Linked DNA regions of Tamandua tetradactyla. The protein of the gene in region 3 binds, or shares a complex with, the protein of the main gene of each other region. Links are inferred from orthologs where the notes say so. Each region holds a gene or a part of one and is shown on either strand. Other genes may lie near its edges.

Evidence for each region.
Region 1: LAMTOR1 (region 3) and LAMTOR2 share a complex: the UniProt entries of both Homo sapiens proteins name them as parts of the ragulator complex. The link is inferred for Tamandua tetradactyla from reciprocal best matches to the Homo sapiens genes LAMTOR1 and LAMTOR2.
Region 2: LAMTOR1 (region 3) and LAMTOR5 share a complex: the UniProt entries of both Homo sapiens proteins name them as parts of the ragulator complex. The link is inferred for Tamandua tetradactyla from reciprocal best matches to the Homo sapiens genes LAMTOR1 and LAMTOR5.

Annotation. Positions count from the first base shown.
Region 1 is NC_135330.1:9,088,717-9,096,674, reverse strand, and holds the start of LAMTOR2 (ragulator complex protein LAMTOR2), read right to left. Parts: upstream 3,013-7,958; 5' UTR 2,863-3,012; coding exon 2,795-2,862; intron 2,478-2,794; coding exon 2,315-2,477; intron 518-2,314; coding exon 428-517; intron 184-427; coding exon 127-183; 3' UTR 1-126. Other genes in the region: UBQLN4 (ubiquilin-4), read left to right, coding at 4,023-4,130, 5,632-5,783, 6,130-6,347, 6,922-7,184. UniProt on the Homo sapiens protein: As part of the Ragulator complex it is involved in amino acid sensing and activation of mTORC1, a signaling complex promoting cell growth in response to growth factors, energy levels, and amino acids.
Region 2 is NC_135337.1:12,520,980-12,528,660, reverse strand, and holds the start of LAMTOR5 (ragulator complex protein LAMTOR5), read right to left. Parts: upstream 3,013-7,681; 5' UTR 2,909-3,012; coding exon 2,874-2,908; intron 2,006-2,873; coding exon 1,944-2,005; intron 67-1,943; coding exon 1-66. UniProt on the Homo sapiens protein: As part of the Ragulator complex it is involved in amino acid sensing and activation of mTORC1, a signaling complex promoting cell growth in response to growth factors, energy levels, and amino acids.
Region 3 is NC_135334.1:74,148,784-74,156,038, reverse strand, and holds the start of LAMTOR1 (ragulator complex protein LAMTOR1), read right to left. Parts: upstream 3,007-7,255; 5' UTR 2,860-3,006; coding exon 2,818-2,859; intron 1-2,817. Other genes in the region: TOMT (transmembrane O-methyltransferase), read left to right, coding at 5,426-5,684, 5,874-6,070, 6,533-6,853. UniProt on the Homo sapiens protein: Key component of the Ragulator complex, a multiprotein complex involved in amino acid sensing and activation of mTORC1, a signaling complex promoting cell growth in response to growth factors, energy levels, and amino acids.

The DNA of each region.
Region 1 (7,958 bases), on a different chromosome or scaffold from region 3:
TTATTCTTGGAAAAAACAAAAAAAAAACCTCTCCTCTCCTCCCCCAGTTCAGGAAGGTTTTCCCAGGGGCCCTGCCCCCCCAAATGGTCATCTCTCCTTTGTGACCCCAGCTTCTGTCTGTGGCCATTAGGATGCCGCTACTTGGGTGAGGGGCTCCTCCAGGTATTGCACCAAGGCCTGGGCCTGCAAGGCGGAGAACAGAAATTAGTCCCACACTGGCTTGCTGGTAGAGGGATCCTGAATCCAGGGTCTACCCCCAATGCCATATGCACAGATCACCAGCCTCAGCCCGCTCATAGGAATTAGCCCACACCAGGCATGCACTGGGTGGATGTGAGAAGGGTAAGGTAGTGGGGCTGGGAGTGGCCATGGTGATGGAGCTTGAAGGCTGTGCCCAGGGTTATGGAAGAACGAGGCACATACACACCTTGGCCTTGAGCATCCCGAAGCCCACGGTCTCCTTGGCATACATACACAGCAGAAGGTTGGCCACTCGGGTGATGGCCACACGGCCCTCCTGGTGGGGGAGATGTGATGTTCTGCTTGGCACCCTGGTCCCTCTCCTCCCACAAGGGCTCCTCTTGCCCCAGACAGACTCTATCTTCCCTCCATGCCTAAGGCACAGAAGGTTCAGCTGGTGGGTGGGGGGCGGGGGGGGGGGGGTGCTCTGGCCATGGCCTTGGACATTAGAGTCCAGAGCCCAGCTTCCAATTTCAGCACAGCCACCTCCAAGTTACCCTGGGAAACTCATTTATCTATCAGAAACTCAGTTTCTTTTTCTGTAATTTCTGTCTCATCCTAGCTGGTGTGGGTACCATCACACATGAATGAGTTTTGTATCTGTAACAGCCTGTCCAAATGGATGACATTATTATGGGCTCAACCCAAAGATACTGAGAGGGGCTTGGGAATAGTAACCCAATTTATGTTTATCTTCTTTTTCCATGACAAGGTTTTTCAAACTGAGGTTTGACCTAGGATTAAATTAATTTAGAAAGTAGATCAGCATTTAAAAATAAAAAAGAAGAGAAATGAAGTGCATTGCATGTTTCATGAAACTTTTGTTTTAGTGGATGCATTTCTTATGGCTAGGTTGCAGTCGCGAATATTTGAAAACCTTTGCCCTATAGCACCAGCTTTAGTCTAGGCACAATATAGGAGTCATCTATTGAACTGAAATGGCCTCTTTGGTTGGACAGGGGATGGGGAAGAGGTAGTCAGCCAGCCGAGTCTCCATGGAGAATCTTTTGGGCAATTCAACCTTGGGGTCTATTCAGTTTGGTTCAGCAGACCTTCATTAGGTATCCACTGTGTGCGGGGCACCAGGTGTTACACCCCTGCTTCTCTGACTTCATTTTCTACTACTCTTTCCCATGCTTATGCCACTCCAACCACACTAACCTTGCTGTTCCTTGACCAAGCACCTTTCTGCCTCAGGGCCTTTGCACTTGTTGCTCTCTCTGTCAGAGAAGTTCTTTCCCTCAACAGCCACATGACTCACTCCCCAAATTCCTTCAGATCTTTGCTCAACTGTAAACTTTTTAGTGAGACTCTAACACATGCCCCCTACAATCTCTATCTCTTTTCCCTACTTAATTTTTCTACATAGCATTTCCATGACCAAACTTTTTTTTTTTTTAACCAAGCTTATTATAAAAAATATGTGACTTTAAGCTTCACGAAGACTGGGGTTTTTGTCTATCCTGTTTACTACTTTCCCTTCAGTTTGGAGAAAACTATATTTACATTCAAGTAAATATTTCTTGAATGTACAGACATGAGTGAGACAGTTCCTATTTCCACGCAGTTCACAGTGGAATGTCCATTTCCTTTTTCTGGATTTCATTTCTTTTGTCTGTAAAAGGAGTTGACTAGGTCCTGGAGACCTTGCCAGCTCTAAGGTTTTGAACCTGGGATGACAGCACCTTGTGTTTGTACCTCACTGTATGGTTGATATCCATTCTTTCATTTGAACTTCACTACAATTGTGTGAGACAGGAAAGGTGGGGGGAAGGAGTATTGTTTCCAACTTAGAGAAGTAAGGAAGCTCCCAGAACTTAAGTGACTTGCCCAAGGTCCCACAACTGATAAGTAGCTGGCAGAGACCAGAACCTCAATCAGACCTCGGGTCCAGGGCTCCCTCCTCAACACCACCTGATGCAATGGGTCCTGCTTACTCTAAGTGCTGTCGCACACCAGCTCTTAGTACTCGTCCAGAGCTCCCGTTCCTGCCCCTCTGACTATCCGGGCGGAATCCGGGTCACCCCGTGGGAATCCCCATTGGAGGACAGAAGCTAGGCTCTTCTCTCCATACCATGCAGTCCATGAGAATGAATTTGAGATTGTCTTCGTTAAACGCTTGGTTCCCGTTCCGGTCGTACGCGGCCCAGATATTACTGGCGATGGCCGCGGTGACCCGGGCATCCGTGTCCCCGTAACCCGAGTAGGCCAGCAGCGATCCCTCGTTATTCAGCAGCCTGGCGAGGGGTGGGGAGGGATATCGGTGTGCTTAAGACAGGGAGTAGGACCTCTGGGGTCCCATCACAACCCCACTACCGGCGCTTCTTGGAAGCAAGTGTCCGGGCCGAGGGTGTTCGGGACCGTGCCCCGGACATTCAAGCACGCCCCGCTTCCCTTTCCGAGAGGGGCCCTCCCGGCCGGTTTCCCCAGGCCTCTGCCCCCTCTGCCGCCTCCTCCCTTCCGGGCGGTCCTTCCCCAACCCTCCCTCAGACAGCCGCCCGCCGCCCGACTCGGGCTTCAGCGCGCGCCGCTCGGGTCCTCGGTCCGCACTCACAGGGTGCTCTGGACGCCTCCAGTGTTGGCTTGGCTTAGCACCTGGGTCAGAGCTTTGGGGCGCAGCATGCCTGCGACTCCGAACCCGGAACTTTCGCACACAGATCCGCCGAGGTGCCGCCTGCTGGCCTCCGCCGGCCACTCCCGGTAGTCCAGCCGCCCTGCTCCCGACCGCCCTGGGAGTTGTAGTTTCCCGGCCTATTGCGGGTCTGACTCAATACCCCCGCCGCCGCGGAGGCCTCTGGGAGTTGTAGTTCCTGTGCGGTCGCGGGGCACCCTGGGAACTATAGTTTGCCTTTCCAGTCAGACCACGCGGTTATGGGGGAAAAGAGCGGGAGTAAAAGGACAGAAGTCCTACAAGGAGGTTTAACTCCTTCGGGGAGAAGTCGTCACGTCCGCTTGGCAAACCACGGTTCAATAATTTGAAAAACCTTGTAGTTATGAAGTACACCTTTGGTTACTTTTCAAAGCAATGTCCTGTGTTATACACAATTCTTTTGGATGAGGCGATAGGTACTATTATCTTGAGGAAACCGAGGCTCAGAAAGACAGGAGGAAACCGAGGCCACGCAGATCAAACCCAGGTCTCGGGAACCATATTTAACAGTCCTTTATTAAGGCCCCATCCCTCGGGAGGATGGGGACAGTTGTAGAGATGAGGTCCTAGGTGGACGTCCCGAGGTGGGAAAATTCAGCCTTCACGTCAGGAGGGAGAAGGCCCAGCCTTTGGAGAGAACTGGGCCTCCCGAGAAGGACCAAGTTATCTCACGGAGCAGAGATAAAGCGGCGACACAGAAGGTCCTTTGTCCCGGCGCGGGAGTGACCCGCGGAGGGGGCGGGGGCAGCTTTGGGAAGGACTGGACCTCCCAGCGGCTCCGGGAGGCTGGGGCGGGGCCCCCGCGGCAAGGGGCACGCCCCCCGCCCCCGCCCAGCGCCCCTCCCCCCACCGCCGCCCGGCGAGCCCCAGAGCCGGCTCCCGGGCGCAGGGCTCGGCCCTGGGCGGACCCGGTGCAGTGGCCCCCCCGGGCCGCCCGGGGCGCTGTGGCTGCGGCAGGTCCGGAGCGGGTGGCGAAGCCTTGAGGAGAGGCGGGGAGAGGGGAGTGTTGGAGGCACCCGAGCCGAGCCGGGCGGGCCGGGCTAGCGGGGAGGAGGAGGAGGAGGAGGAGGTGGAGAAGGAGGAGGAGGGGCCCGGACGGGCTGGCGGGCGGCCGGGTGGCGGCGGCGGCGGCATGGCGGAGCCGAGCGGGGTTGAGACGAGGCCCCCCATTCGGGTCACCGTCAAGACCCCGAAGGACAAGGAGGAAATTGTGATCTGCGATCGAGCCTCGGTCAAGGAGGTAGTATGGGTGGCGGGGACCGCGCGCCGTGGAAGGGTCTGCGGAGAGATGGGGGGGGGGGGGCGGTCCTGAGGGACGGTCGGGGAGTCCGGGAAGATCCCGGACAGGAAGGCGAGGGTCCAGCCGGAACCCCGAGGAACGGTGGGGAAGGAGATGCTGGTAGGGAGCGCCCTACGAGGGTAAATCCGGGGAGCATGGCGTGTGCTGGGGGGGACGGGGTTTGCCGTGGGGCCAGGACTGGGGGCGTGGTGGAGGGTGAGGAGGGGGCCCCCTTGCACAGAGAGCACTCTGCACTTGCACAGAGACGGGAGAAGAACCCTGGGTTACTGGTCGGGGTTCGAGGCGCTATGGCAGAGTAGGGAGTCCAGGCAAGGTGCTGAAACAAGAGAACGGACGCAGGAGAGCACCGGGTGCCTACTCTATGCCTCAGAGGAGGCCCACCGTTTTAGGAGAAAACCTGGGGTAGTAGGGGGCGGATTTTCCTCTGCCCAGATTCTTTCAAATTGAAGTGGTTTCCTTTGGTGGTCAGCTCCTCTAGGGTTTGTGCAGTGTGCAGTAGGTGCTCAATAAAAATTTGTTGAATAAGTGAATGAGGGAATATTGCCTCTGTTTCTCACCCCCAGTGGCTGCTCCAAAATTTCACATAGGCGGGGCTTAAGATAGGCCATCTGGTTGGAAGGGAGGGCTTCTGGAAGCTGCCTTTGCTTAGCAAGTGCACTGTTTTTCCTCAGAATGATTGTTATTTTTTGTTGGGAGTGTGCTGATAGTTGGGGAGTCTAACTCTCCCCAAGCTAGCCCTCGGTGCCATCCCTGCCCCCCAACTTTATAAAATGACTCTATTCCAGAATTTAAATTCTTTCCTCTGCGAAGCTGAAATTTAAATCAGTTTTAATTGAGAAGCAGTGTGTCCAGGCCGTTGCAAGCGTGGGCTTGGGTGTCAAGGCCTGAGTCCCATTCTGAGCAGAGTAAATTGCCTAATCTCTCTGATCCTTAATTTTCTCAACTTTCTAGTGGAGATAATATCTCCCAGGATTTAGACTGTTAACTGATGAATATCAAGGGCTATTTGTTGTTGTAGTTCAAAGATGGCTGAAGCAGAAGCTGGGAATAAAGAAAGATAGAAAGTTGGAGTCTGAGAAGAGAAGGCTGAAGGGAGACGGGGCCTGGGTCTAAAACTGTTGAAGGAGTTGGGATGGAGAGGGCTGCCCATTTAGCACCCTCATAGGGGGTTGGGTGAAGGGATTGAAGGTAGGATGTCAGAGCAAGGGCTTTTGGGGTGGAAGACCTTGGAATATAGCTGAGAGAGGAGCCTCTCACTGGTCCATCTTGGTTAAGAAAGGAGCTGCTTATTGCAACTGGAGGGGTGGAGAAGAGACTGCAGAAAGAAATTCCCGTGACTAGAGTGGGAGCAAGGGTATGCCAGAGGCTCTTGGAGAGGGGCAGGGTCCCTGGTGGGTCTGGGCTGGCAGCCTCCTCAGTGACCTCTGCCTCTTGGTCACAGTTCAAAGAGGAAATCTCTCGGAGATTTAAGGCCCAGCAGGACCAGCTCGTCCTGATCTTTGCCGGAAAGATCCTCAAGGATGGGGACACACTGAACCAGCATGGAATCAAGGATGGACTCACTGTGCACCTGGTCATCAAGACTCCTCAGAAGTAAGTTCAGAAGATGAGCAGGCCCAGCCTCTGACTAGGCCCTCCTTTCCCTTCCCCGTCTAACATTTTCTCACCCATGGCTCAGCTGGACCTGGACGGCCTGTGTCAAGGATGTCCTGCCTGGCAGCACTATGATATCACCTCTAGGAGAAGGGAAATTGACTTACTCCTCCCACAATGCCCTGAAGACAGATAAGACTAGCTCCTTCCTCCCTCTCCCTGGTTTACTGACCACCCCTTCCCCTGCTGCTGCCTCAGGGGCCCTCAGCAGGTAGCTTGAATCAGAGCAGTGGCTTCTCTGTGTGCCCACTCCACCCACCTAAGAGTCTCCTTTCTCTGTCCCCAGGGCTCAAGATCCGGCTGCTACGACTGCTTCTTCCCCCTCCACTCCAGACCCTGCCTCTGCACCTTCCACGACACCTGCTTCGCCCGCCACCCCTGCCCAGCCCTCTACCTCTGGCAGCACCACTTCAGATACTGGCAGTGGAAGCCGAAGGAGCAGTGGGGGCGGTCCCTCCCCAGGGGCTGGGGAGGGACCCCCCAGTGCTCCCGCCTCCATACTCTGTAAGCCCCTAGAAAGGAGAACACAGTCCTACTTGGTCTGGGGAGTGAGGGAAAGCCAAGAGCAGGCAGAAGGATGGTCCCTGCTCTGGTCTGGTGGTCTGGTGAGGGCGGGGGGCTTCTGGACATAGGGTTCCAGACCCTGGTATTCAGCCAAGACCAGTGTGCGAGGGCTTCCTGAAGGAGGGGAACATGGCTGAGTGTTAGCAGTAAGGGGAGAAATGGGGCTGGGGATGTGGAAAACCCAGGTCAGGATTTTGGAAGACCCCGTGAGTTTGGGAAAGTGGTGGACCTGGCTGGGGTTAGCTAGAGAATATTTATTTGTTCATTCAACAAGCCGCCAGTGGTTGCCCACGGTGAGCTAGGTACTGTGCTCAGCTCGGGGTAATCTAAGCTTCTACCATCAAAGAGGTCTTGGCTAGTAAACTGACATCTTGCCAGCCGTGGATCACGGCTGGGACTATGGGAGTAAGTGGAAAAGGGAGATATGAGAGGCAGAGACAGATGGGGCCCATTCTGGAGACCAGGTTAGGGAAGGGCTATCGTGGCAGATGGTGACCCTGCCCCCTCCCCACAGCTGGTTTTGGGGGCATCCTGGGGCTGGGCAGCCTGGGCCTAGGCTCTGCCAACTTCATGGAGCTGCAGCAACAGATGCAGAGACAGCTGATGTCCAATCCTGAGATGCTGTCGCAGATCATGGAGAACCCTTTGGTCCAGGACATGATGTCTAACCCTGACCTGATGCGTCACATGATCATGGCCAACCCTCAGATGCAACAGCTGATGGAGCGGAACCCCGAGATTAGCCACATGCTCAACAACCCTGAGCTCATGAGGCAGGTGGGTATGGGAGAAGGTTGGGTTGAAGGGGGATACCTAGAGCCCAGGCATTCCCTACCTAGCCTATTCCTGCCTTGTCCTACACTGCCTGATTGACTGATTCATTCATTCATTAATTCGGCAGCCATATTTTAAACCCTGGTGTACAGTGATGAAAATACACAGGCCTAGCTTTGCAGAAGTTCCTGGTCTCAAAGGGAAGTGGGATAGGTAAACAGGTATTTCAGTGTGGTTGGTGTTACCCATAGGTACAGTTCAGGATCCCCTCAGAGCACAGAGAAGGGCTCCTCACCCTATCCTGGAGCTCAGAGGAGACCTCCTAGAGGAAGTATCATCTGAGCTAAGACCCAAAGGAAGAGGAAGAATCAGTCAGGGGAAGAAAAGGAATAATATTCAGGGCTGAGGGACAGCAAGTGCAAAGGTCTGAAAGTAAAAGAGAGTAGGATGTTTGGGAATCATCATGGCCCTGTGGAGAAGAGAGACCTGGAGGAGGAGGTTTTAGGAACTTCATCTACTGGCCTACTCAGGCCGACAGGGGATAAGGAGAGAGTTTTCCCAGTGAAGCTGTGGGCACCAGTGTTGACCTCACTAGAAGATAAGTGACTTTTTTTTTTCTGTGTGCTGTATGGTGGGGGTCACATTTCATTCTTTTTCCGTTTGAGTATCCCGTTATTGCAGCACCATTTTGTTGAATTTTTGTTTGTTTAGTTGTTTTTTCTTTGTTTTGCTTGTTTGTTGTTTTTTGGGAAGTGCATGGATCGGGAATTGAACCCG
Region 2 (7,681 bases), on a different chromosome or scaffold from region 3:
GCTTAGCTGCTTGCTGGGCTAGAACTGATATCACCCCAGCATGCTCATCTGACAAAGTCCCACGGCCTAGAAGACAGAGATGATATCATGTCACCTGACTGTCCAAAAATGAGTAAGGAGTTATAGTAGGAGCTATCATTGAATTATTCACAAACACAAGATTCAGTTAACTGTCTCCTATGTTAGGTACTGACGTGAAATGCTTTTGCCCTGATAATCAACTGGTTATAACTACTAGATGAGAAAGACAACAGTTCTTAAATCAACAATGTGAGGACAACACTCAGTTTTCAAAGTCATTTTCGTTGCCATCTTGAAACACCTTCCAACGATATAAAGCTATAATTCAAATCAATCTAAAAGAAATTCATTTTTTAGGACCTTACTGAAAACAAAAAAATTCAGAGGTGAGATTGACAAGAAGTCAGTAAGGACAAGAGACTTGTGAAACTAATTAATTTCTCCTGGGAAATCTGATTTCTTTTCACTGAGCTCAACCTCAAAGGATATATAATTGAACTTGGGAGTTCAATCATAAGACCATCTTGACAGCACCTGTGAATACAATCAGTGAACAATCAATTTGGCAAGAATAAGCTAGCTGTTTTCAAATGTCAAAAGAACTGCCTCTTTATTAATGTTTGTTTTAGCCTGTAGGTAAATAATTTAGGGTCCCAAGAAAATAAAGTAATTACTAAGTTTACTTTATGTTTTCATTGAGGTAACATATGCCTAAATTGTGCTTGCACCTAAGTTGGGTAACAGTCTTGCAACTATGGCACCATTTTTATGGATTAACTATTGCTGATTTTACTTTTAACTGGCCACAGTGTAGCCTTTAAGGCCTTAAAGCTTTCTTGAAGAAACTGACTTAGTTTTAAATTTCCATACTTGAATTTCAGCCTTTCCATTAGTGAGCCTGGCAAGCATTTTAGAAAAATCTGCCTTTTCTCTTCCAACTGACTAATCTGTGAGGAACACAACTATTACAAATATTACCCATTTCAGTTATCCTTCCAGCAAGAAATTTAGTTTAAAAAATTCTTGTTAGAAGTAAAGAGTCCTGGACTTCCTAGTTCTGACATTAACTGAATGCTTTGGTTATTTATCTTTCTGGATTTATTTCCTCATCTGTAATTGTGACTCTTTATTACTATGTCTAGGTTCTGTGCTGAGTGTTTTACACATATGATATAATTTTATAGTGTTGTAATTAAGAGGTTTTGGAGAAAGATTCAAGTCCTAACTCAACCACTTGCTAGCTATGTGAATTTGGGCAAGTTACCTGACTTTTTTGCCTCAAGGAAACTGGGAAAGCGGCTATCTTCCTCATAGGGTTTTATGAAGACTAAATGAATGATATCTAAAACACTTACAATGCTGCCTGGTACATAGCCCAAGAGCTCAATAAATGTAATTCTATTATTAGTATAATTATTAAACAACTCAGTAAGGAAACTGAGGCCCAGAAGTGGTCTAAGTTTACACTATTAGCAAATGGAAGAGCATGAGGTTGAACCCAGATGTTTCTGGCTCTGAATCTGCTGTACATTTAAAAGAGAATACATTTTACTGTTTACTCACTTATTGTTACGTGTATGTTAGACTAAAAAAATAGCACCATCCAAGATTACTGTGAAAACTAGAAAAAATGCAGATAAAGGCTAGTACAATTCCAGCATATGGCATACATCCAATAAAGGGTTAATACTGTCATTACCTGAAGTCCCTTCTAAATGCAATTTAAAATGATTCAAATACTATTTTAGTAGAGCCAAATGCTTTAATTCTAGAACTGCAGGGAATGGTCCTACTTTCTTAAATACCAATTCAAAGTGGCAGGACAGCAAGAAATAAAAGCTAGAGAATAGCATTAATACACTTGACTCCAGGTCAATATCAGATACTTGTAACACACCAAAAGTTTGGTGTAAGATACTTACAGCCCAGATTAAGTCCTTGTGAATCTGTACACAGGACGCCAACAATTGATGGATTCTTCATTCTAGTTCCAGAAATAGAGGCGGGATGAAGAGAGAACATGGGCTTAAATTACCATAACACATTAAGGCTTTATACATGCCAGGCACTGTTGTTAAGTGCTTTAAATCAGTGTTTCTCAACGCCTTTTTCATTATCATCCCTCCCCGCCTCTAGAAAAAATAAAACCAATTAACTTAAATTAATTCTCACTAACAAAAACAAAAAGATTGTCAGGTATAATTTACCTTTGGAGGGTCACAAACATTGTAATATCCAGGGTTCCCTTTGCTCAATGCGAGCTTTAATATACTAACTCAAGTACAGCAATTTTTGGAACAGTCTAAGTAACAGGAGTTTCCCGGAAGGGAATTGAGAGGCTGGAGTACAGTGGTGGGAGTGAGGTATATTTCCCTGTATGCCTTCTTAAACTTTCCCAATCCGGATCTTACAAAAATATCATTCATTAAAAAAAATAAGGGATGACCCATCATCCCCCTAAGCACCAAGTAGCTGGTTCGTATGGAAGGAGATACGTGTGTCTGCTTATGTTTACAATGCAGGGTTCCACTTTGCACACGTGGTACATCCTTTCTAAAACATAACCCATTCCCTAAAACGCCCGAAATAACGACACCAGAGTAGTATGCCTCAGATTTGAATCCCGGAGACTCGCTCCGGGAGGGAGTGTGCAAAGCAACCCGGAGAGATTTTAATTCCGGGTCACGGCCCCGCCCTGCGGCCCCAGAGCAAGCCTCACAGTCACATCCGCGCCTTGGAGGTTGTTCCGTGTTCCCAGACGCCAGGGTAGCACTCGCAGCACATGCCCTTTGTTCCGCTTCAGCCTCAACGCCGCGACCTCAGCACAAGCCGAAGAGGTCTGCACTACTCACGTGTCCTCCAAGTGCTGCTCCAAAGTCTCCTCCATTCCGCTGGCCGCCCGCGATCACTCAGCGCACCACGTACTTCTCGGCCACAGATCGTAGGGGCTCCTCCGTCACGTGGCATGAGTGGTACGCAGACTGGATGGCAGCTCTGAAGGATCAAAATAGATCGCGGTGCAGCTTCCGCGTTTGTAACCAGGAGACGCCATGCCGCTCCTGGATAGCCTTAGTGCTCCACCCACTCCGGGCTCCCCTGCGGAGGCCGGCATTGCGAGTTATTTCCCACCCCGGAGAGGGTCGACAGCCAGGCCTCTTTGTCTTTGGTTTCTGGTCTTTCACTTTGTCTCAGTGATTTTTAACCTTTGGATTTTAATCAAAGATGTGGAGAAGAGACGCAGAACCGCTATGACGGGCCCACAGGCTTTTAGGGAGAAACACATACACACAAAGGACTAAGGCGCGAGGTGGCATCATGTTAAACCCCCCAGCTGGGTACTGAATTGGTAAAGTGTCAGAGACAAAGACATGGGTACTTCCATGGGGTAGGAGAGTGCAGGAAAGTTTTGGGGAAGAAAGTGGCATATGAATCTTAACTGTTAAAGAAGACTGGGTAAGGCTATTTAAAAATGAAAGGTTTAGGAGGCGAAAGGCTGAGGAAGAGGGAAGGTAGACCGGGAAATTTAAAGTGGGCAGGTTTATTTCTGTGCTCCCGGGAAGAGCTCACGGAATCCAAGATGGAGGAAGGTGAGTCTGAAATGGGTGATGGCGTGGGCAGTTTTTATGCAAGCGGGTCAGGTGACGTCGGAAGGGGCGGTTCTCCGGAAGTCAGGTGTCCAGAAGGGGTGGCTCCAGAAGCCATGTTGGGAGGGGCGACACAGCCTCTGCAGCTCCAGTTGCAGTGCCCTTCACGGTTCCCCCAACCTAACATTCCAGCCTTTTTGTGATAATAGGGCGTTGAGGTTCTTCTGGCTACTTTCTGCTGTGCTGGGGCGACGTGGGGTGATGGGCTGGGGTTGTCATGGTCAGGAGAGGGAGTAGGTTAGCTATAGGAATCAGGTGAGGAGGGTAGGCGGTGGCAATGATGCAGGAGCATTTGGTTGACTGCTAGCTGGGACAGTTCCTTCATGCGTCCCTGAAGGAGGTTGAGGAGACAGGGAGCTAGGAGAAAAAAGAGACAGATTAGGATAACTGGTCCTACTAGCGGGAGGAGTCATGTCACCAGGGGGGAAGAAAACCAGTCTAAGGCAGAGCTGGTTCCTTGTTTTCTGTGGTAGAGATCCTCTTTTAGTTTGTTTAAGGTGTGAGTATTTTGTTCCACCAGACCTGACTCGTTGACGTAATAGCAGCATTCTTCTTGAAGGAATACACACGTTCCTCCTTTTTCGATGGTTAGCAGGTCTAAGGTCGGTCAATTTTGAAGAGTTACCTGGGCTAGTGAGGTAAGTTGACGTTGTAGAGAGGAAAGGGATTCTGATGTTGATTCCAGGGCTACCTGTAGTTGAGTCTCAGAGTTTTGAGAGGTTGAAATACCATGTCTCAAAGTGTTCTGTTAAGTTACCTTGGTTTAATCTAAATAATTAATAAAAAAAAAAAAAAAAACCATGTCCCAGTGCCCCTCCCACTGCAGCTGAGGCTGCGACTGAGGCAGTTAGGCTGATGCCTACCAGGATGGGAAGAAAGACAGCCCTTTTGGAGTGAGGAGAGGGCAGTAACCAAGTTTGTTCGGACTCCCTATAGAGAGTTAATTGAGGAACAGTAGTTACCAGGAAGCATGGTCCCGGGGCAGTGGAGTTAAGGCACTTGGTAAGGGTTCCATTACACCAGAAATATTGTCCTTTGGCGGATGGGTGGTGTTGTGGATAGTGACGTTAGTTTGGCATTTATTATGAAGTTTTGTCTGATTTACAGTTGTGTGTGTGTGAGGAAGCAGGTTTTAAGGGGGTAGGGAAGGTTTTCAGGCTCTGGTTCCCATCGGGGGGTGTTCTTTAGAGTGGTATGGCAGGAATCAGGGTTATGATTATGTATTTGGATTAGATTTATAGGGGCAGCTGCTAATAGTGGCTTATTTAATGATGCACAGAGGTAACAGTGGGTTACTTTAGGGAGTATTTGTGTTTGGTTGAGGAAATTTAAGGTTTGTTGGAGGATTTGGAGCCACGTAAGACAGGCTGGTGAGGCAGAGAGTGTGACATCTGAGTTTTTTAGGAAGAACAAATGAAATTCCTGGAGACGGGAAGGAATGAGCAGAGAGAGAGAGAGAGACTTATGGGATAACAGGTCTTGTGGATGGTGGGGCGACAGGACTTGGAGAGGCCTACCCAGACTAAGTTTAAGAGCTTCACGCATTAGGGTAGTAGCTGCAGCCAGTGCTCGGAGACAGGGAAGCCATCCACAGGCAGTGGGGTCCATCTGTTTAGAGAGATAGGCTACTGGATTATAAGTTGGTCCCAGAGGTTGGGTTAAGACTCCCACCGCTATTCCTTGCTTTCCATCAGTGAAAAGGAAGAAGGGTTTGTTAGGATTTGGAAGAGCAAGTGGAGGTGATTGAAGTAAGGCATCATGGAGAATGGAGAAAGTTTTGGCTACAGTAGAGGGGTCATCTAGGGTTCCCATGGGCGCCACCTTGGCTGCCTTATAAAGAGGCTTCACTAGGAGGGAAAAGCTGGGGACCCGATGTCAGAAGAACCCCACAAAACCTAGGAAGGATAAAATTTGTTCAATGTTTTCTGGAGGTTTTGGAGTTCTCAAAGGGCTTGCTGGCTGTCTACTGTTAGATGTCGGGATGTAGGAGTGAGGCGGAGCCCCAGATAGGTAACAGTGGAGGAGGAAAGTTGAGCTTTGGCAGGGGAGACTCGATATCCTTTGTCAGCTAAAAAATTTAACAGGGTGGCTGTAGGCTTTGTGGAAGTTTTTTTCAGAAGGGCTGCAAATTAATAGGTCATCTACATATTGGAGAACGAAACTGGGAGTTTGATTGCACTCTATTAGGTCCCTGGCTAGAGCTTGGCTAAAGATATGGGGGCTATTGTGAAACCCCTGAGGTAATACCGTCCATGTAAGTTGTTGGGCCGCTGAAGAGTCTGGGTCTTGCCAGGTAAAGGCAAATAAATTGTAACAGGCAGGGTCTAGAGGGATTGAGAAGAAGGCATCTTTAAGGTCCAGGACAGAATAACGAGTAGTATGAGGAGGTATGTGTGAGAGAAGAGTATATGAATTGGGAACTACTGGGTGGATGGGGATGACAGCCTCATTAGTTAGTCAGAGGTCTTGTACTAGATGTTAAGAACCATCAGGTTTCTTGACAGGCAAGATGGGGGTGTTATAAGACGAGTTAGTGGGTATGAGGAGTCCCTTTCCCTTGAGCCGGTTAATGATGGGTTGGAGTCCTTTCTGATGGGTTATGGAGATAGGAAATTGTGGCCTAGATGGGAATGAGGATGGATCTTTTAGTCAGATAAGAACTGGTTTATGATGGGAAGCTATCAGGGGAGTTGAGGTATTCCATACTTCCGGGTTTACTAGGTGAGGTGGTAGGGGAAGAGCGGGAGGGGTGGAACCCTGAGTGGAGGTGGAGGCCACATGTGCTGGTTTGAAAGGAAGTATGCTCCCTAAGAAAAGCCATGTTTTAATATAAATCCCATTTCATAAAGGTAGATGATTCCTATTTAATACTGTATGTTTGAAACTATAATGAGATCATCTCCCCGATGATGTGATTTAGTCAAGAGTGGTTGTTAAATTAGATTAGGCGATGACATGTCTCCACCCATTTGAGTGGGTCTTGATTGGTTTATTGGAGTCCTATAAAAGAGCAAATATTTTGGAGAATGAGAGATTTAGAGAGAGCAGAATGATGTAGCCATGAGATGCCGAGAGTCCACAAGCCAGCAACCTTTGGAGATGAAGAAGGAAAATACCTCCCGGGGAGCTTCATGAAACCGGAAGCCAGGAGAGAAAGCTAGCAGATGACGCCGTACTCGCCATGTGCCTCTCCAGCCAAGAGAGAAGCCCTGACTGTGTTCGCCATGTGCCTTCTCACTTAAAAGAGAAACCCTGAACTTCATCGGCCTTCTTGAACCAAGGTATCTTTCCCTGGATGTCTTTGATTGGACATTTTTATAGACTTGTTTTAATTGGGACATTTACTCAGCCTTAGAACTGTAAACTAGCAACTCATTAAATTCCCCTTGGTAAAAGCCATTCTGTTTCTGGTATATTGCATTCCAGCAGCTAGCAAACTAGAACAGCACACATAAGGGTAATGGTAAATTTGTTTGGGGTTTTTGTATCCAGTGAAGTGAGGCCCCTAACTTGGTGAGAAGATCCTGCCCCATTAGTGGGCTGGCGCAAGAAGGCATCACCAAGAAAAGTGTGTAATGGGGTACCCTTCTATTAAACATGTAAGTGGTCCAGTAGTTAAGGGGTGCGAAGGACAGCTGTCTATGCCCATAACCGTGACCTGGGAAGGAAGGAATTGACCTGAGTAGGAGGGGAGGGCAGAAAAGGTATTCCCCGTGTCCACTAAAAAGGAGGTGGACTTACCCACTACCTTGATTGTTACCCTGGGCTCAGCGAGGGTGATCGGAGTCACTGAGTCTGGGTGTTGTCAGTCGTCGGTGGCCAGGCCCAGGACTGCCAGCGGTGGGTCAGGGTTTGGAAGGACAGCCCCTTCACAGCTGGGTGCCAAGAGGCAGTCACTTTTCCAATGTCCCTTTTTCCCGCAGAGAGGGCATGGTCCCTTGGGTGGTCGAGGATTGGGGCACTGGCGGGACCAGTGTCTGTCAAAGCCACATTTGAAGCATTTACCTGGTGGTGGA
Region 3 (7,255 bases):
AGCTGGTGTATCCTGACCAGTAGAAACAGTAGAGCTGTTTCCTCTCTCTCAAGCCACCATTAATGTGGTTTCACAGGCCTGTTACTACTAGCTTATACTGATAACCATAACCCTCAGACCTGACCTGGGGCCAAAGAAATTCTCTCCAATCTTGTGTAATTCTGTATTTCTTCTTGTACTGCTCTAACCTACTATATTCTTTCTGGATATGATTCTACCTTGAGCCCATCAACTGCAAATCCTTGCTGATTTTATGTCAGCAGCAAACGGATAAGCTGATCTGTTGGGTATCTATCCGAGTCATAAAAAGCAAGGGTGCCCAGGACAAAGTCAAGGACAGGAGAACCACCCTGGCTAATGCTGACTCACCAAACCTCAGTGCCAGACCACTGCACTCCCCAATGCTCTACCGCAGGCCTATCTCAATTCCTACCACACTTTCCTGCTGCAGGCTCCCAGCAACCCCCAGGCCACAACTCTCCTACAGGGCTACTTCCTCCTGCCCTTCCACGCAGGCCCAGCCCTTTCACCTCACTCTTTCTCCTCAGGAATAGATTACCCGGCAGAATACTGACATGGGGGAGACCCGGGATCAATTACCGGCCCATGCACCCCCCCCCCAAAAAAAAAGATTACCCAAGTGTGCTCAGGCTAGTTCCAAACATACACAAGACATAAGGTATAAGCTTCTGCCCCCTCACCTCCAAACTCCCAGATACCCTCTTTCCCTTCCAAAAACAAAGGATCAGGATTAAAGGGCTAGAAAGACAAAATGCTTGCCAAACAGTAAACTATCTCTAAGGAAACTGGCTCTATAATGGGACCTAAGTTTGCTTCCTTTATATCTGGCCTTCCCAACAGCCCCACCTCAGATGGCTCCTCCTGCAGGACAGGGCAGTTTCTCCCCTATTCGTTCTCCAAGAGCAAGGTTCTATCTTGAGACCTAGACTTCCAGAAGACACCCATCATATTTGACAAATGTTACCCCACCTCCAAGGGCAAGGACAGCATGGGGGAGGTAAAAGAACACTGTGGTTTGTCTGAGTCAATGTAACCCAGGAGTCAGCGTTTCACTGTCTAACCTAGCACAGACACAGATGTATTCTGCCTATGAATGGCCTAGTGGGTGAGGACAGCTGGAAGAGACAGCTTGGCACATGGCTTGACATCAGAACAGCGGCTGTGTTACTTCTCAGCTTTGTAACCTTGGTTAAATCACTCTGCTTCTCTGAACCTTTTCCTCACCTGTAAATAGAGATAACCCCTACCTATATAACAAATGTATGTTAAGAATCAAATTAGATAAATGTAAAAGCCCTTTGAAAACAAATGTGTTAAACGTTTCTTTTTATTATTATAATAAGAGGGCAGAATGTAAGTGGGAGAGGAACTTATCCAAGAGCTGAAAGAGAGGTGTGGGGACAGAACCCCCACCCCCAAAACAACAAGATAGTAATTATTGCTTTTGCCACATGAGATCTCAAATCATTCAACAGTGATCAAGTGCCTTCTCTGGGAGTTAGAAACAGAAATGACAGCCCATAATAGAGAAGATAGAGATTTAAGATAGCAAGCAAACCCAGATCTCCCATCCAGCTAAGAAGCTGGTATCCTTTCTTTCATAAGGCATTAACTCTTCTTGACTCATTCCCTGCAAAAGTCCATGTTCTGCTTTAAAGAAGGAACAATTTCCCACTAGGACATGACTCTCCCAGTAGGCAGGAATACTGTCTCCTCCTCTGACAATCTGGAGTGAAGTGAGAGATTTTGAGCATGATTCATGTCTAACAATAAGACCTAAGAAACATGGAAATATACTCAAAGGGTGTTTGGTCGATTAATGAGGACTATGTCTCCCACACAAATGACATTTTCCAAGCTTAAGTCCTTAACCCAAGAACTGGTGCAACTGACTTCACAAGTACCACTGACATAATCTATTTCTGGGAATATCTTCCCCACTGCGAGCTACCTGATGAAATCTTTTTATTGTCTGTGTATACAGAATGTACAGAACTATAAAGCCAGGCTTTAAGGTGATCAAAACTGTACAGGTCTCCCCAACTTAGTACTTTTTCCCAGGAGGTCAGATCTACAGCAAATTCTCAGGGGAGGCAACCCCCATCGCAAGAAGAATCCTTAGGCTCCAGGCAGGGACTGCACTGAGGTAGGCCAAAATCAGTATCAAATAAGCTCCCCATCCCACCTCTCTTCCTCCCAATCCAAGCCAAAGCTAAATCCAATTTGCTGCTTTCCAAACAACTTCCCATAAGTCCCGTGGCCCTCACTTGTCTCCACTTCTTAAATACTTCATTGGCTAACTTAAATGCCACCAACTCCCAGAGGACTTCTCTGGCAAGGTCTTCTCCAACCTCAAGGACTGAGAGGATACACAAACTCCTGATTCATCTCGGGATAGGCTAACTTACAGACTCCGCTTACCCACCTCTATAATGGATTCACAACGCCCGCTAAAACAAGCACAGAGAAGGCACGGGAAGCTGAGAACGAAGTGCTTTCCAGGGACCTAAACTGAAGATCCTTTAAGCTGTAAAGAAAGTTTGAAGGTAGGGAGCGAAGGGATACGAGAAGGAAAGGAGGTCGCCTGCACGCCCACAGGCAAGGACTGTGCAGAGACTTGGGACCTTAATACAGGGAAGAGCCCGGCCGGGAAGCCTCTCTGTAATCTGTCCCCTCCTGGCCACCGTACTAGGGAGCCAAGCGGCCCGACTCCCCATTCTCTAGAGGGCTTTTCCCTAGGCCCCACGACCCACGGTCTCAGCCCTCATTCCCGAGCCCTGCCCGCCACGACCGCACCTGATCCGAATCCTCGTTCTCACTGCTGTAGCAGCACCCCATGGTGGGGGTCGAGCCAGGCGCTCAGGCGGCGCGGAGGGACCGCGTCCGTCAGGAGCCTTTCCGGTCACATGACCCTTGGCTACATCCCAGCCGGCAACAACCACCACCACCCGTACCTCCCTCCCCCTTCCCAGAGCCTCTTCGCCTTCGCCGCCCAGCCCTGATTTTAGCCCCGCCCCCATACAGCTCATCATCAACCAATAGGAAGATACGTTCAGCGGAACTAGACGCAAGACACGTGATGAGGAAAGGGCCTGGCAGGGTCACATGATTTTACCTTCTCCCACTATCTAAACTCTGAAAGTCTTTCCACCGTGGTGGAAAAGGTCCTCCTGCTAGTCATCAGGTTATGTGTTCGTGTGCTTCGAGACCGTCATTCTGGGTCAGAAACGAATTCTTATCCCAAATGCTGAAATGATATGCTCTTCTAAGTGCCAGCGAGGGGCAAGTAAAATCACGGCACTACACATCTGGAGCACAAATTCTGGACCCACATCACCAGCGCGCGAGTTAAGGTGGCGCCCAGAGGAGTTCCCAGCCTGGCCCTGAGATTTAAGACCTACTGGAAGAAGGGGCTTTATGCTTTCACCAGCCAAAGCAGGGTGGCAGTTAATCTTGGTGGAGGAGATAGAGGCCTCCTCACTTGTCTTCCTGTCCTCAGGCATTTTACTTCAATCCAGCTTTTTTAAACATAGTTATCTAATGCATGAAGCTGACCATCAGTCTTTTTTTAGAAACTTCTCATGTCTTCCCTTGGGCCCTGAAAACAAGTCTTTCAAGATCTTGCAGAGCCTAAGACCTGCATCCCATTCCAGGCTGGGATTGAGGGGGGTGGGAGGGGAGGAGTACTCACCAGCAATAGGGAAATACTTGCACTTTCCCGACTGATTTCTTGGGCTTTACACATGTAGCTGGTGTACACTGGTACACTGTCTCCCTACCATACTTCTGTCAAGCAAATACAAGCATAATACCCTCTTGATTACTTTCTCTGATCCCATTTTCTTGGCATCTCTAGCTCCCTGTGCATAATCCCTATCCAGTGTTCATTTTTAAGTCAATGTTTATTCATTCACTTGCTAAATCAACAAATACTTTCAGTGTCTAGTATGTGCCAGGGACTGTTCTAACTAGATATACAGCAGTTCACAAAGCAATTCCAAATCCCTGTACTCATGGAGCATCTAATTTAGTGATCACACTGAATCATATTTGTTTCTGGTCAGTCTCTTCTATCAAACTGGGAGTTCCTGGAGGACAAAAACAGAATCTGACTCGTCCCTGTGATCCAAGCACAAGTCACACCTAGAGAAAACTTGAATTTTGAGTGAATGAATAAACTGCAGCCCCTCCATCACCTTGGTTCACATCATCCTTCATGTTCTAAGAATTTGCAGCTACCAGACTCAGTATCTCTTATTAACCCTCAAATTAAGACCCTAGAGTTTTGTAAGTTCTTTGAGGTCTCCTAAAGGGTTGGAGACAGCTCTACTCTGTCTCTAGGTCTAGTAACTCAAATCGCAGGTCTCAGGTGACAGCAGCAGCCTCATCATCAATAATTGAAAACAGTTTCAGCCTCCTGCCTCAGAGTTCTCTCCCACCCCAAGAACTTCCCCTTGTCCTGTGCTCCGGTCTTCCCCAAGAAGAAGCCTCCAACCCAGGTAAGCTGGGACCTTGAGTGTGGGTTTCCAAGCACACCAGCATAAGCTCACCATCACTCACCTATTCACATCCATTCATAACTCTTTCTCTCACTTTTAGTCCCCCTCCACCATCACCATCACCACTAGGGTCCTTACAAAGGTCAGATCTGGTGGAGGGAGATGTTAATGGAGGGCATGGTAGAGGAGCGGGCACCAATCTCCCAAAGAGGGCCCTAAAGATGGGGAGTGAGTAGGGGAGAAGTGTATAGTGTGTGTTTCTGTGTGTAAAGTCACGTGCAGGGAATACTGAGGGAAAGAACAGTGGAACAGAGGAATGCAGGGATGGGAGAAAGAACTGGAGAAGAAATGTAAAATCAAGGATTCCCCCACCTCCGGGGAAGAAAAAACAGAGGGAGAGTCCTGGAATAGGAAAAAAGATATCTTGCCCTATGATATAAGTGTTTTGATTGTCTCTTACTGAGACAAAGAATAATGACAATAAAAGGGATTTCAAAACACAAAGCTGTGTTCTCTTGCCACACAATAATGGGTCAGAAGAGACCAGGTAGCGGGATGCAGGAAGGACACTAGAGAAGAACTGGTAAAAGGAGTCCTGAAGAAGGGGTGACTAAAGGAATGAGGACAAACAGGTGAGGAAAGAAAGGTGAAGATGGGGCTGGGTCAGGACTGGGATGAAGGGGTTTCAAAGCATGGAGTCTTTGAAAATACATGGGCTTGAGATGATACCCACCCAGTTTTCAAATCCCAATTCTACTGTATGATTCTGAACAAAAGACAGCCTTTCTGCTCCTTGGTTTGTAAAACATAAGGGTAATATGTGTTAAGGGCTGCTGCACACATGGCAGGCAAATCATGGGTACGGGTTTTCCTCCCTCCCACCCCAGGACACAGGAGGGAACACCATGTCCCCTGCCATAGCACTGGCCTTCCTGCCACTGGTGGTGACGTTGCTGGTGCGGTACCGGCACTATTTCCGGCTGCTGGTGCGCATGGTCTTGCTGCGGAGCCTCCGAGACTCCCTGTCAGGGTTACGGATCGAGGAGCGGGCCTTCAGCTACGTGCTCACGCATGCCCTGCCTGGGGACCCTGGCCATATCCTCACCACCCTGGACCACTGGAGCAGCCATTGTGAATATCTGAGCCACATGGGGCCTGTAAAAGGTCGGTGTGTTCTAGCTTTCTGCTCCAGGAAGACTTTCCCAAATGATGAAGGTCTAGGATCTGCCTCTGCCTTACCATATGAACTGGATCCCAGCTGGCTGGGCGTGGCAGTGAGACATTCAAGATCTTTCTAGTAGGGGTCCTGAATCCATCTCCCATGTTTTCTGCAACAACCATCTCTTCCTCCAGGGCAGATCCTGACCCGCCTGGTGGAGGAGAAAGCTCCTGCCTGCGTGCTAGAGCTGGGAACCTACTGTGGATACTCTACACTGCTTATTGCCTGCGCTCTGCCACCCGGGGGTCATATTCTCACGGTGGAGCGGGACCCACGTACAGCAGCAGTGGCTGAAAAACTCATCCGCCTGGCTGGCTTTGATGAGCGCACGGTCAGTCCCCCACCTCTCAAAATCTAGTCTCCGCTCTGCCACCCTAGGCCTTGCCCTGATCAGGATTCCCCTGTGGGGGATCCCACCTATGGAGAAGGAAGCAGCTCCACTTAAGGGCTCTAATCCCGGAAGGTTAGTGAGCTCATATCCTTCTGTCTCAAGTCACTTGCACATATTTTCTGCTGAGTGATTGAAAGAGTTAAGACGTTAGTCTCTGAAGTCTGGCATATCTAGGCCCATAATTCTTAGCTCTGCCTCTTGTTAGCTGTGTGACCCCTTCGTGCGCAGAATGGGAATCACAATACTGATCCTAACTTCATAGGCTGTGAGGCCAGAGGAAATATGGAAACACTTGTAGGGACCTAGGCCAGGGCCTGGAGTGAAGTAAGCCAGATCTTGTTGGGGTTTGGGATGGGGAGCAATCCCCCCAATCCTCACCTCCAGCTCCTCCCACCCCCACAGGTGGAGCTCATCGTGGGTAGTTCAGAGGAGGTAATTCCGCACCTACGAGCCCAGCACGGACTGAGCCAGGCAGAGCTGGTGCTCCTGGCACACCGGCCCCGATGTTACCTGGAGGACCTGCAGCTGCTGGAGGCCCATGCCCTACTGCCAGCTGGTGCCACTGTGTTGGCTGACCATGTGCTCTTCCCTGGTGCACCCCGCTTCCTGCAGTACACAAAGAGCTGTGGCCGCTACCGTTGCCGCCTCCACCACACTGGCCTCCCAGATTTTCCTACCATCAAGGATGGCATTGCCCAGCTCACCTATGCTGGACCTGGCTGAGGTCCAGGTCAGAGGTACTTAGTGCTGCCCCACCCACCCACTTACTCATGCAAGGACCTCAGAAAATCCTCTTCCCTGTTTGTGGCTTGACACAGGCTGAGCTCAGGACTAGGGAGGCTCTCTTCCTATCTTTGCCCTCTCCCAGGCTCCATACTGACCTGTGGCACCAAGATCTGTCAGGGTTCTTAGTCCCACTTTTCCCTTCCTTCCAGGGAGAGCCATGGACTGAGAGGCAAGAGGCCTGAGCTCCCAACACAGTCATTCATTGGGTGACTCCAGGGGAGTGGTTGACCCCCATTCCTTGAGTTTTAGTCCTCTCTCCTAACACTATGAGAAAAAGCTGAGAGCGCTCCAGGGGCCTCCCCTGCCCAGCCCATGTAATCCTGGGTAGGATCAGAGAAG